3 linked regions of the Arabidopsis thaliana genome follow. The protein of the gene in region 3 interacts with the protein of the main gene of each other region in a pairwise test. Each region holds a gene or a part of one and is shown on either strand. Other genes may lie near its edges. The genes, in order: AT4G30240, AT1G68680 and YUC5.

Region 1 (4,426 bases), on a different chromosome or scaffold from region 3:
AAAGAATGTCGAAATTGTAATTTATTTGGTGAATCGATAATAGTTTGGACCATAACACATCTTATTCACACCTTTTTCTTTTTCTTTGATTTTTTCGTTATTTTGTATTTCAGCTCATTTAGAATATTTCAATATATATTTTAATAAAATTGTTTTTGAAATTGAATTGGTTAGGTGAGGAATGAATGATGATCAAAAGAAGCACGAGAAGGATATGAGAAAAATTTATTACCTTACTTTTCCCAATGGGACTAGTCGATTTTTAATGATTTAGACAGGAAGTTGTATCATTTTTTAGCATTTATCTGTGCTTCGAAGTTCATGGTTGATAAATGGTATGATCAAATTCCATCTTGAGAGACTGTGACATGCACCTTTCTTTTGTCCAGAGACTTCTAGATTCGAAAATTATTAGACATTTTTCTTTCTTCATAAATCTTTTTCACCATTATCATATGTCTATATGATACGACCTAATATTAAGATTTTTTACTTAGCTTAGAATTGACCTAAATTGGTACTTTTGGGCTGTGACACTATTAGTGATGAAAGAAATTGAGACGTCAACTATAATGCGCATTTTAAAAGAAAGTAAGACAATGATTGGAACAAATGACTTGCCAAGTAAGTGAAAGAGGACAAAGAATGTTTTGTTCCAAAACAAATATCTGAGAGACAAACAAACACTGGAGATATCATTGAGCACAAACACGCATTGGTTTCCTTTAGGTACACGTCTAAAGTTTAACGAAACGTCGTAGCTTCAAGTTTTACAAATTGATCTTACAAATTTACAGGTTCCTATATGTTCCCTGAGGATTAAGAGAGAGTAATAAATCAGGCTTTGTCCTTCATTTGAATCTTGACAAAGTCTTTTAATCTCTCCTCCTTCCCTCGAAGGATGTTGAATCATGTAGCATCTAACGAGTGTGTAACCCAATACGCAAGAATCTGTGAAAAAACCTGCAAGATACACGAAAAGGATGTAATGTTTAAAGATTGTTTTAGAAAACTTGGAGTTCTGATTTAGAATCTAAAATATCATTTACCTGTCAATGTTTCTTGAGAGTTTCTGAAACCGCGGTTTTAAGTTCTCAAGATGAATACTGCAAGGGTATAAACAAGGAATTTGATTCAGTTATAGAGAGTAGAGACTGTCATGGAACAGTGGTGTGACATAACTCATGAGAACCAAGAGAAGGACTCACATAGAAGAATCAAGATTAGCGTTAAGGAAAGAATGAGCTTAATAGGGCGGCTCAATGGAACGCGAAATCGTCTTTGATAAACCTTGACTCTGTCAAAGAGCTGCAAAATGATAAACAACTAAGACTTATGATCCTTTCTAATAGTGTAGAGATGATCCAAACTGCAGAAGCTTACCTGGTTATAATCACGACATCTCTGCAGCCAAAACATAGGTTTAGCTCCTTTCTCTTTAGGAGTGTCTTCAATATGTGATAGGAACTTCTCCCTCTCTTCTTCTTTTGCATTAACAGGGACATTAATCCTCAACGCACTGATATTTGGTACATTTGGTGAACTCCATGTTCTTCTTGTACCGCCTTTTTTATCTGCACTTTCCGGACTTCCTATGTCGTCAATGTCTATCACACAATCAGGACTGTCGCCATAACATCTACCCTCTCTTCTGCCATTGATCCCACGTGGATTCTCAGCTACAGAACTCGTTGAGGAATCTCTCAAGTTGATGCTATCACTGTTTAAACTCTCTGACGTCTGAGAAGATCCAGATAGAAACATGGCGAGATCATCACGCTCTTCTTTGTTAAGATCCACCCAACGCAAAGGTTGTTTCCCATTCTCGCTTAACGACTCTAGCAGAGTAGATTCCACTTGATAAATCTGGTTTTCAATAGCGGTAACAAACTGTTTATGCCTAGTTAAGGTAGTGTCATCTCGACAATTTCCATGGCTTAAGCTCACTGCCCTCTCAAACTCTTCCAACTGATTCAAGTCACAACAATATAACCAATATCACTAACACACTCATGAGTAACCATGAAAAAAAAAGGGAATGATCAAAGGACCATTGATTGTTTCATACCTGCCATTTAGCAGTGCTCAAAGCAGCTTGGAGTTCTTTGCAGAGCTCGTCTGATTCTACGGATACTCGACCGTCTCTCTTCTCTTTAAACCACAACCTATACGCAGATTCCATTCTGGAAATACAACACAAATAAGAAACAAAATTTCAAATTTGATAACTCAATTCCTTCACAAAACACAAAGGTTCTCACTTAGACCATTCTAGAGCCAATTAGTCCCCTAAACAATCGAAATACCCTATTTTTCAATTGAAATTCCGAATTCCACCATCACAAGCAACATGAGTCAATTAAACAAACAGAGAATCAAAAAACACATACATATCAGCAGATTCTTGAACCTCCTCAGCTGCAGAGAAAAAAACATCCTTTTGCCATAGATCGAAACTATTCGCTACCATCATCTTCGAAACCACACCTAAACCCTTCAAATTAAAGACCAAAAAATCAACCCGAAAAGATTCGTCGGAATAGATTCTCTCTCCGATTATAATCCAAAATTAGATTCTGCTTCCTTCTCTTCTCTTCTCTTCTCTTCCTTTTTTGCCTTCAGGAGGAAAGAAGGAATTTTTATTTTTTCTTCCTCCAGCTTTCTGTTTTTATTTTTTATTCCTTAAATTCTTCGATATTTCTTTGCTTTCTTCACTTTAAACGTTAATGGAAGATTTTAATAAAGAGGCCTCTCTGAACTAAATTGACCATATTTCACACGTGTTTTATTGTAATTGGGAAATAATTTAAAGTAAGATGGTCTTAGCTGCAGGAGATTACCGCTTGTCAAAGAAAAACATCAAGAATGTCCGTGTTGTTGTTGGGCCTACCGGTTTGCCGCAACATCAATTGTTCGCCAACCGCATTATATTATTATTATTATTCTTTATTTTAATACTCTCTATACAAGTCAAATGCTAATGAGTAAATAAATTCAATAAAAACTCAACGCTAATTTTAACTTTTAGTTTAGTAATAGACAGTAGGAGCAGGACAAATTGAGGTGGCATGTGTAGCGCATGTGATATCAAAATTTTAACTAGTTAAATTGAAATTCATAAAATGAAAACATGTTTTGGTGTTTTCAGTTTTGGAGAGACATGTTTTGTTAAATAAATTTAATTAATTAGTTGTTGTGATATGGTGAAATACCACCTTCTTCAACAAATCCCAACCTTGATTTTGGTGTTTTCAGTTTTAATTAGTTACCAAGACCTGTTTTTGTTCTTATTTAGACATTAACCGGTGGTAGATTCTAGAGATTGGGCCCATAATATATATATATATTTTTTTTGATCAAAAAGATTGGGCCCATAATATAAAACAACTTTTTTCTGATGCAAATCTCTTTGGGTAGGATTGGGCTTCACTACTACAATATGTCAAAAATCAGCGGTCAATATTATATTTAGAAAAAAAAAAAGAACGGATGGATTTTTCAGGTCACTTCTAGTTTGAAGTCAAGTGTTTGATGTGATGATTCTTTAAATGTCACTTCTCGAGTAAATTGTTTTCTTGAACTATAAATTTTGAAATTTACAGGTTTCACATATAACCTGTATAAAAAAGGGTGTGACACTAACCAATTTACAACACCCAAAGTCCAAACGCCAATTCTCTTTTATCTCTTCAAAACAAACGTAACCGACACGAAAATTTGAGACAACATATACAACAACAAAGTGGCAATTTCTGCAGCATTAGTAGATACAAAAGCCAGTTTAGTCTCAACTCTCATGTAGCAAATCTCAGAAGGTTAACTTTGGACAGTGCCTACTTTTGACTTAAGAGTAAACCAAAATGGATAACGTTATATTATATGGTAACTAATCATATATTATAATAATTTTGACTAAACAAAACGGATAATTAAAAACACACAAGAACCACCATTAGATGATGATCCTAGGATAAACAGTCTCTTATCATTCACTTCTCCTTCTCATCTTCTTCTTCTTCCTCCTCTCGAAACCCACAAACCTCTCTGTTTCTTCTATTAGGACTATCCAAAGCTCTCTTCTCTTGTTCTTCCTCTGCTTCTTCTTCTTCTTCTTGACCTTCCTGTTTCTTCTTCTTCAATCCAACACTCTTCCTTCTCTTCACAACTCTCTCCTTCAACACACTCACAATCTCCCTCACCGCCTTCTCCGCATCACTCCTATTCCTAATCAACACTTCACTAACATCAGCCGGAGTAATCTCTGCTTCCTCCACACATTCTTCCATCTCCTTCAAAACAACACTATCCATATCTTCTTCCTCAAGCCTCAGATAATTCTTCAACAGAATCTTCAAAGCCGGAAACTTACAAAAACCCATGTGAACATGCATATCCATCCTCCCACTTCTCATCAGAGCAGAATCTA
Region 2 (4,159 bases), on a different chromosome or scaffold from region 3:
ATCTCCAAAACGTTCGTTGGAGAGAAGTTGCAACTCGCCGGCGGCATCTTCCTCTACAAATACAAATACTTCTACTCCTGTGTCATAATCTGATAGTCATACTATAATCATCTCCTGATGTTGATTTTGGTGTAGGTTTGAAAATGTTTATGTGAATGTAAGAAATATTTTCGTCCGTTTTTGTTTGTAACCAAGAAATGTTATTTCCTCGGTTGGAAATTTTGAATAAAGTAGACGAATGCTACTATGTAGTATATACACGAGATAAGTGAAGACTCTTTGTTTTTCTAACTTTGGATATTTACTAAAATATCTTCTTGTTTTTGGTGTCTAATTTAGACAGATCTTCGTGATGAATCTGATGGCAAAGGTTATAATTCATCACCTTCGTAAATAGTAAAATACAAAGGTAGATAAGAGAATCTAAGATGAATTGAGAATAACGTGCGTGAATGGTGATGTAGATATTTGGTGTGACAATTAGAAGTGATTTATTTATGGTAACGCTTGCTTAAAACAAAGGTCCATGAATCGACCAACTAACCATTCACAGAATTGAATACCAAATCTATCTTTTTGCATGGCAATTTATTAAAATAAATCTAACGTGGCCGCCTCTGAATCTTGCTTAATAGAATAGTAACCACTAACCATAATCAAATCATTAATTTAGATTTTTTATTTTTTGTCGGCCAATTTAGATTATAGTATCTTTTTTTTTTTCCTTCACATATCTTACGGTAATTGACTCGAACCGGAATTTCTTTAGAAAATTCAAAACCAGTTTAATAATCGGGTTCATGGAGAATAAAAAGGTCATGTTCTGATTTTTATAATAAGTCCTTGTTGACTAAGTCCTTGTTGAATAAGTCTTCCTAGATTATAGGAAAGTGGACGATTAAATTTGTATTATGTTTTGATTTTATATGTTATAGAATTTCAGGTCGATAAAAATTGTGACATTTGCATTGTGTCTAGGGTCTTTCGGGTTTTTTTTTTTTTTTTTTTTAACTTGATTTGTAGGGAGGATAATCTTGGGTCTATACAAGCAAGACGAATTCTTACGTAATTTTGTTTCTTTGTTTTGAATAAAACTGGATAAATCGTGACTAGGGGCTGGAGATCAATAAATCGTGACTTCCCTCCAACTGATACGGATTCTACAACTATTTGAATTTTATAAGGAATTTCAATAACTTGTTCACTTTTTAAATATACAATAGTTTTGTACAACTAGTAAAAAATATTCATATTTCCATTATAATCATTTATCATTCCATTCTGCTTTTTTTTTTGGGTTCTCAATTCTGCCATTCCACCATGTTTCTTATCGGAATCTAAATAATTAATGCATTAAGTAGTTGAAGATGATAAATTTATTTGTTTCCAACCATTTTGATGGTTAACTTAAAAAACATAAAATTTTAGGTTTGGTGGAAAAAAGAAAGGGACACTTGGCCTTACGACAAAGCGAAGGGTCACATGTTAATACAACAATTTCAGGATATTCGAATCTCTAATATTGGAATCCCTAATACATGGCTCACTCTCTTTGATTCAAACATAAACTGCACTCGTTTATTTAATCTTTGTTTGACAGCTAAAAAGATTTTTATTTTCGGGTTGATAAACCTATAACTCCTCCAACGGACAAAATTTACTAGATAGATCTATAACTTTTCGTGGGCTATATATAACTTCTCGTGGGCTTCGAGGCCCAAAAATGTTTAAAAGTGTTGAAAACCAAGACAAAAAAAAATGGAGTGAAAAAGATGAAATCCCTAAATTGAATCGCAAATCGCAATTTGAAAAAAAAAAGATCTCTCTCTGAAGAATCCGTCATGGCGTCGTCAAGCGATCCTTCAAAACCAGTAATGGAGAGGAAGAAGAAAGGAGCTCCGATCAAATTCTTAGTACCTCTCATCTACGCACCTGCGCTTCCTTTGATTCGGTTGTCTTTAAGGCATAAGCCAGTTCTAAGAGATCGTCTCTTCGGTCTTGTCCTCGTCGGTGCTTTTGCTCATGGCTTCTATCTTGTGTATCCTCTTTATGATTGCTTTGGTGCTTTCTTATGTGATTTAGTGAAACTTGCATTTATGTATTGTATATGGAATATGCATGTTTGGGTTTTAGGGGAATTATTTTGATTTGCAGTGAAGATTTGTGTTTTGATATTGTAGATTGTTAGTATGTACAGAGAGCTAGGAAGTATTTGCTGTTGAAATTGCGCATAGAGTTAAAGGTATGTGTAAGGAAGTGAATCCTGACTAGTTTCGTCAGTCATGTTGAGGATTTGTTAGGCATAGTTAAGCATATGGACTTAAGGCAGTTAATCTTGACTTGTATCATCTAATCACTGGAAGTCATATATGGTTATGTGGTTTGACAATTTACATTTCTAGAATTGAGACTATAAACCATCTATGTATACCAAACTGAGGAGTTGAAGAAAGTTTGCTTGTAGTTGTTGATTCAGGTAGTTTAGATTTCTATAAAAGTCATGTGCGGTGTAGAGATTTACTCATGATGGTTTTGCAGTAAATTGTAATAGTTTGGTAGCTTAGAGAACCTCAAGATTACTGTTGGTAGTGAGAGCAAATATTCAACATTTCAGCGATTGTTGTTAAGAATAGTTTGAGCTGATGATGTTTCCTAATGTTGTTAAGCTTCGATTTGACATAAGTAGAGTCTACTACTATGTGGATTTGGAGAGTAGGAACATTCATTTGCTACTCTGTGGAATATTTTGATAATCTCTATGGAATGTGTTATTTTGTTTTGATTGTTCCTTATAGATAAATCACAGAACGGATATATATGATGCAGAGAGCAAATGAAAAACTGGGAGTTGCAGTCAGTCAACAAGATCTCAATATTTTCTCAGATTGTCTTTCAGATAAATAATTTTTGCCTTTTGGGTTTAAACCTATTTGACACATGAACTATGGATTTTTCCTTATGAACCCATTTAGTCATCTTGTAATGTATCATCTTTTTTACATTTTTCAATCTCGTTCTTGATTTTTCCATGTCTTGAATGTGAAAACTAGAGTGGAGAGCAAAATTAGTTTGCGTAATATGCATCGACATGAACACATGTTTATGATATGGGCAAGGATCATATATTTATTATACTGCTAATATATAATAAAATAGAGTCAATATAGCAACAGATTCTGGTAACATCTAAGTGGAGACAGCATTAGAGGTGGCAGGTTGTTTGCGAGTTACACCTCTTGTGCAATGATGATGGATCGAACAAGTGCGTTCTTTCATTATAAATTATATTTGTTTTTAACGTCAAGATCCTTACTTAGCTCTCACACCACATGTCCAAGTAAAAAGAACATTTAAATATTTTCCCTCTTCTTTAATTTTTTGACTTGTTCACAAGTAATGATGGAGTAATGGCACGTGGTGAGATAAGAGTGTGAGTGTGTAAATAAAAAACCAAAAAAAAAGTGGCATAGACAAGAAGTAGTTGGAATGTCTTGGGATCACGGATTAGTGAATGTTCTTTTGGGGGTTTAAGGTATTGACGGCGACACGTATTTCATGTTACTCTCCTCAAGTGTCTCTCCCTTTCACCGTAGGCCGTAGCATTTTCCTTTTCTTTGTGAAACTTTTTGCATTTATGATGGATATTTGGGACCGAAATCCATAGGAATACTAGTTTTTAAACAAGACACAAAAGAGAAAGAAAACAAAAAACTCAAAATACTAGCCAAAACAAAGGATAAACAAGACTTGGAAGAGAGTTAAAGAAAAACGATATTCTTTAGTGAACACCATTACTACGACTCAACCATCGGGTGAATCTCCGAAATTCCCACTTGAATTATGTGGCAAATCCTTCTATTCAAATTTTTATTATTTGTTGGTTAACCACGTGTTTTCTATTATCTAACACACTATCCAACCTGAAATATTATTCCTCATTTTTCTAACCAAAATATTTGACCGTTTCAACACTAACTTGGCTAATCTCATTTCTGTTTTCCAAATTGATTTGTAGTGTTCGTTTTCGTAAAGATTAGCGTAAAGACATCCGATGATGACATATGTGCTCTCATCACAATATTTAATGTACTCCCTTTTTATTATATAGTTTTGTCCTTCGGATTGTCATGTGCTACAAAATGAAAGAGCTACTAATATT
Region 3 (4,086 bases):
GCTTTCCAACGTCATCTTCTTCTTCTAAAACTGAAATATGTTAATCTTTTTCTTCTGTCTCTCTCTTTTTCTAATAGTAAAGGTTTTGTTACTACTAAACCGAGGATTTGTGAAAACTGAGGGATTCAATAGTGTTATAGGGTCTACTTATATAGCCTTTTATGTTTCCTTTTTTTTCTTGATAAAGTATGTTTCCTTTTATTTTGTTAAAAGGATAATGTAAGTTTTCTATTTTTTCTGATGGAATTATCTTATCATTTGCAGGAATTGTAAAAACAAAAATCGAAATCTCTTTTTTTTTTGTCAACTACATAAACAAAACGAAATCTTACTAATATAATTTGGTTAAGAATTTCATTACAACGTTGAATTTCATTACAACGTTGATTAAAAAGGCTTACATAGTTTAGCTTTTTAAGTGGGCCAAATATTTGGGCCTTTGAGATCTCGTCAAGTTTGATTAAGGTCTCAGAATTTCTTTCTATATTCACTTAATATTCATGTTACGACTTACATGTCGTATTTTACCCCAAAAAATACTTATTTTGCAGGAAAAAAACTCAAATAAAGGAAATTTAATTTGATTAGTCGAAGATGTTAAAAAGAAAAGGACATTTAATTATGAGTATGAATCTTTTATTATTACATAGATTTTTTAAAAAAGTGAAAAACAGAAGAGAAAATAATAATGAAGAGAAATGCCACGTCATCCTAAGTTATACAAAACGCCCAATCAGCCTTCAAAAACAACACCGTTGGGTCTTCAGGAGAGGGCTCTCTTTGTATCTTTATACTTTGTTTACAAAAAAAAATGAAATAATGAATAAACACTCTTTGGTAAAATAAAATAAATAATGGTATGAGCCCTAACTTGAGCCCTAAGCAACTGAAATGCATCTGCGGTGACCCACTCGTGTTCTCATTTTCTGTCGTTTGGTTTCTTCTCTCCACACGTTTCCAATATCTTGAGCGATGTTAACGGCGTCTGCTGATGCTCCAGCCAATCCTTTCCTTGTGAATCCAGCCGCGTAAAGTCCCGATTTCCCTTTCCACGCGTTTGGAAACGGCGATTTCGGGAACCCGTTTTTCGAAAACAGATCATTTTCTTGGAGCCATGATGGGACGTTGCTACGGTAACCCGTGGCCAGAACCACCGCATCGAGATCTAATCTCTGACCGTCTACTAGCTCCACGTGACTACGAGAGAACCGTTTAATTCCCGGGACGATTTCTACTTCACCGGATTTGATTTTCTCCATAGCTCCGATGTCTAGAACTGGAGTCTTACCTGAAACAATCTTGAGCTCCATTGGGCCCATCGTGGGCCTCTTTAGGCCATACTTTGTCAAATTTCCTAAAATCAGCCATGCAAGAATCAGTAGAATCTTGTCTACTAGCCACAGAGGAAACCACTTCATCAACATCATGGAGATTTCAAAACTAGATTTGCCTAAAATCTCTCTTGGTAACACATGAACCGAGCTACGAACAACCATGGATGCATTAGCATTGTGATTTGCGAGATCAAGAGAGACTTCCATGCCGGAGTTTCCACATCCGACGACAAGAACACTCTTTCCTCTGTATTTCTCGCCGGATTTGTACTCACACGAGTGGATCACCTCGCCTTCAAACTCCGTTGTGAGCCCATCGATCTCTGGAACAACTTTCTCCGCGTTTTCTCCCGTCGCCACCACTAACCACCGGCAGATATATTCCATCTCCGACCCCGAGGAAGAGGAAGATGTTGTCTTGATGCGCCAGAGACCACTTGTCTCGTCGTATCGAGCAGACTGGACACACTCGTTGAACTGAGGAGTAATTTCGAATTTGTTTGCGTAGGACTCAAGGTACTCGATGAACTGTCGTTTTGTTGGATATTCCGGGTAGTCTTCCGGGAAGGGCATTTTGGGTAATTGACAAACTTTCTTTGGTAAATGAAGTTTGATTCTATCGTAAGTTCGTTTTTGCCATAGTGAAGCTATGCAATCTGCTCTCTCCAATACCACAAAGGGAACACCTTCCTCGCGGAGGCAGGCTGCCGTGGCTAGCCCCGATGGCCCGGCTCCGACGATTACAGGACCGTTAACCCAAATGCACCGTCTTCTGTCGGAGGAATCTTCACTTCCCATGAGCCTAAACATGTTCTCCATCTTTAGGGGTGAGTTTGATCGAATCAAGATTACAAGTAGTGAAAATGGAATAGTTTAGGTATCTTTAGAAGATGATTTTGATCGAATCAAAAGAATAGGTAGTGAAATTGAATAAGCTTTTTTTTTGTTTGTTTGTTGATAGAGGAATGAGATGCTTTGGAATGTGTTTGGAGGAAGAAGTAATGGTGGATGTGTTTATATAGTGGACGAAGTAAGAGGAACTTGCATGTGATCTTGTGATTAGCGCGTTCTAAGGCTAATTTTTAATCAATTTAATAAATGCAAAAGTTCTTCAATAAGTGTGTGTAATAATTTATTTAGGTTTCCCATTTAATCATATGCTTTAGCTAAAAATGCGAAATAGTTTAAGTTATTTTAAAGCTTTTTTCCTTATGGAATCATTCGATTCTTTTCTTCCAAAGTCTCTGATGGGACTTTGATTAGAGTCCGTTTTAATAGTATTAATTAGTTGGTGATGATTATAATATAATTGCTTTATGGTATATATTGAGATTGTACTTACTGATTAAATAGCTTTGAATATTACAAAGATATAGTTTCAAAATTTAAAGATGTGAAAGGGTAATCAACTGGGCACAATGGACCAATCATAATGATATTCATATCATCCAAATTCTTCTGATCATATGGTCCAAATGATAATGATATGTACATCATCCAAATTCACCCATGAGCTTGTAGAGATGGCTTTTGGAGAATATAACTGGATTGGGAAAACTACTTGTCATATAGATATATAGACATATTTTTACAAGTGTTAATAGTAGGGAACAAAAAATAAAATCAATAGAAATACAAGTACTATGGTGTTCTTTTGGTGGATACTTTGACGTTATCATTATAGCATAAAACAAAAACTGGCACTCTCGTAGGATAAACAGAAAATCAGATGAAATTTTAGTAGGTATGTTATAAACTAGATCAAAAGCCAATTTTAGGCTTAATTATTATTTTTTGAGCTATTTAGAGTAAACCTATAATTATAAATTTGTTTACAATTTTTTTTTTGTTAACTTTAAATTCAAATTAACCAAGTTTATGTTGTATTCTAGAGTTTATCTCGTTCAAGTTCACCATTTAGGGGTTTGATAATCTAGGTGATGCATTTACATGTTTTGGTCCATCGATAATTGGTTTGGAGTAAGAATGGTTGCGTCGGTGATGAAAATATTTGCATAAGCATTTAACGTATGTAATATTTTTCTCGCATGGTATTAATTAAGTTTTAGTAGATTTTCATGTATATTTAGTAGATGATTGGCATGCAGTACCTATATGTGCGTGGTTGTAAATCGTTACACATCAAACATTAATCAAGCATTCAAGCCTTTAAGAACTGTAAAAGAATTCGTCGATTTATTTGTCTGAAACGGATCTGATCGTGATTGATAAACTATTTTCCGGTCTAACTCGTTATTCGTTTTCTATTAATTGTGATCTCTTCATTTGTCTTTTGGAGACAAGATTATCTCCTTTTGAAACCGAATGAACAACATTTTCAAAATGTTCCTAAACGAGTAGCTTCATTAGTTAACATTTTCGGATAAAATTACTCGGTAGGTAAGTTTTGTTCAGTTTGATAATCTCGTGGCAATGTGTGCTGACAAGTATGCAACCACGTGGATAGGATGGTGAGCCCAGAGTGGGGGCTCAATTTTGGCCCACTTCAACTCGTCTGCCGACTGCTGACTGCTTAACCAGTAACTACGTCAAATCAATTTGCAATTTTGCTAATAATACAGTTTTTTTGTTTAGGTCCATTTATTGTAAGTTTGTTTATTATCGTCTTTTAATAGGATTTTTTTGTCCTTTATGGTGTTATTCGCTTTATATTACTTTCGACGAATGTTCCATTACAAAGCGCTTTTTATAATATGAACTCTAAATGGAAAAGTTGTTATTTATATTACAA

What was found.
Region 1: the proteins of YUC5 (region 3) and AT4G30240 interact in a protein complementation assay, tested with the Arabidopsis thaliana proteins (one large-scale study listed by BioGRID).
Region 2: the proteins of YUC5 (region 3) and AT1G68680 interact in a protein complementation assay, tested with the Arabidopsis thaliana proteins (one large-scale study listed by BioGRID).

The regions. Positions count from the first base shown.
Region 1 is NC_003075.7:14,807,273-14,811,698, forward strand, and holds AT4G30240 (Syntaxin/t-SNARE family protein), read right to left. Parts: upstream 2,804-4,426; 5' UTR 2,474-2,803; coding exon 2,391-2,473; intron 2,184-2,390; coding exon 2,069-2,183; intron 1,969-2,068; coding exon 1,384-1,968; intron 1,309-1,383; coding exon 1,209-1,308; intron 1,107-1,208; coding exon 1,087-1,106; 3' UTR 1,050-1,086; intron 964-1,049; 3' UTR 617-963; downstream 1-616. Other genes in the region: AT4G30250 (P-loop containing nucleoside triphosphate hydrolases superfamily protein), read right to left, coding at 3,990-4,426.
Region 2 is NC_003070.9:25,783,786-25,787,944, forward strand, and holds AT1G68680 (SH3/FCH domain protein), read left to right. Parts: upstream 1-1,720; 5' UTR 1,721-1,841; coding exon 1,842-2,038; intron 2,039-2,806; coding exon 2,807-2,837; 3' UTR 2,838-3,557; downstream 3,558-4,159. Other genes in the region: AT1G68670 (myb-like transcription factor family protein), read left to right, coding at 1-88.
Region 3 is NC_003076.8:17,647,979-17,652,064, forward strand, and holds YUC5 (Flavin-binding monooxygenase family protein), read right to left. Parts: upstream 2,398-4,086; 5' UTR 2,154-2,397; coding exon 879-2,153; 3' UTR 598-878; downstream 1-597.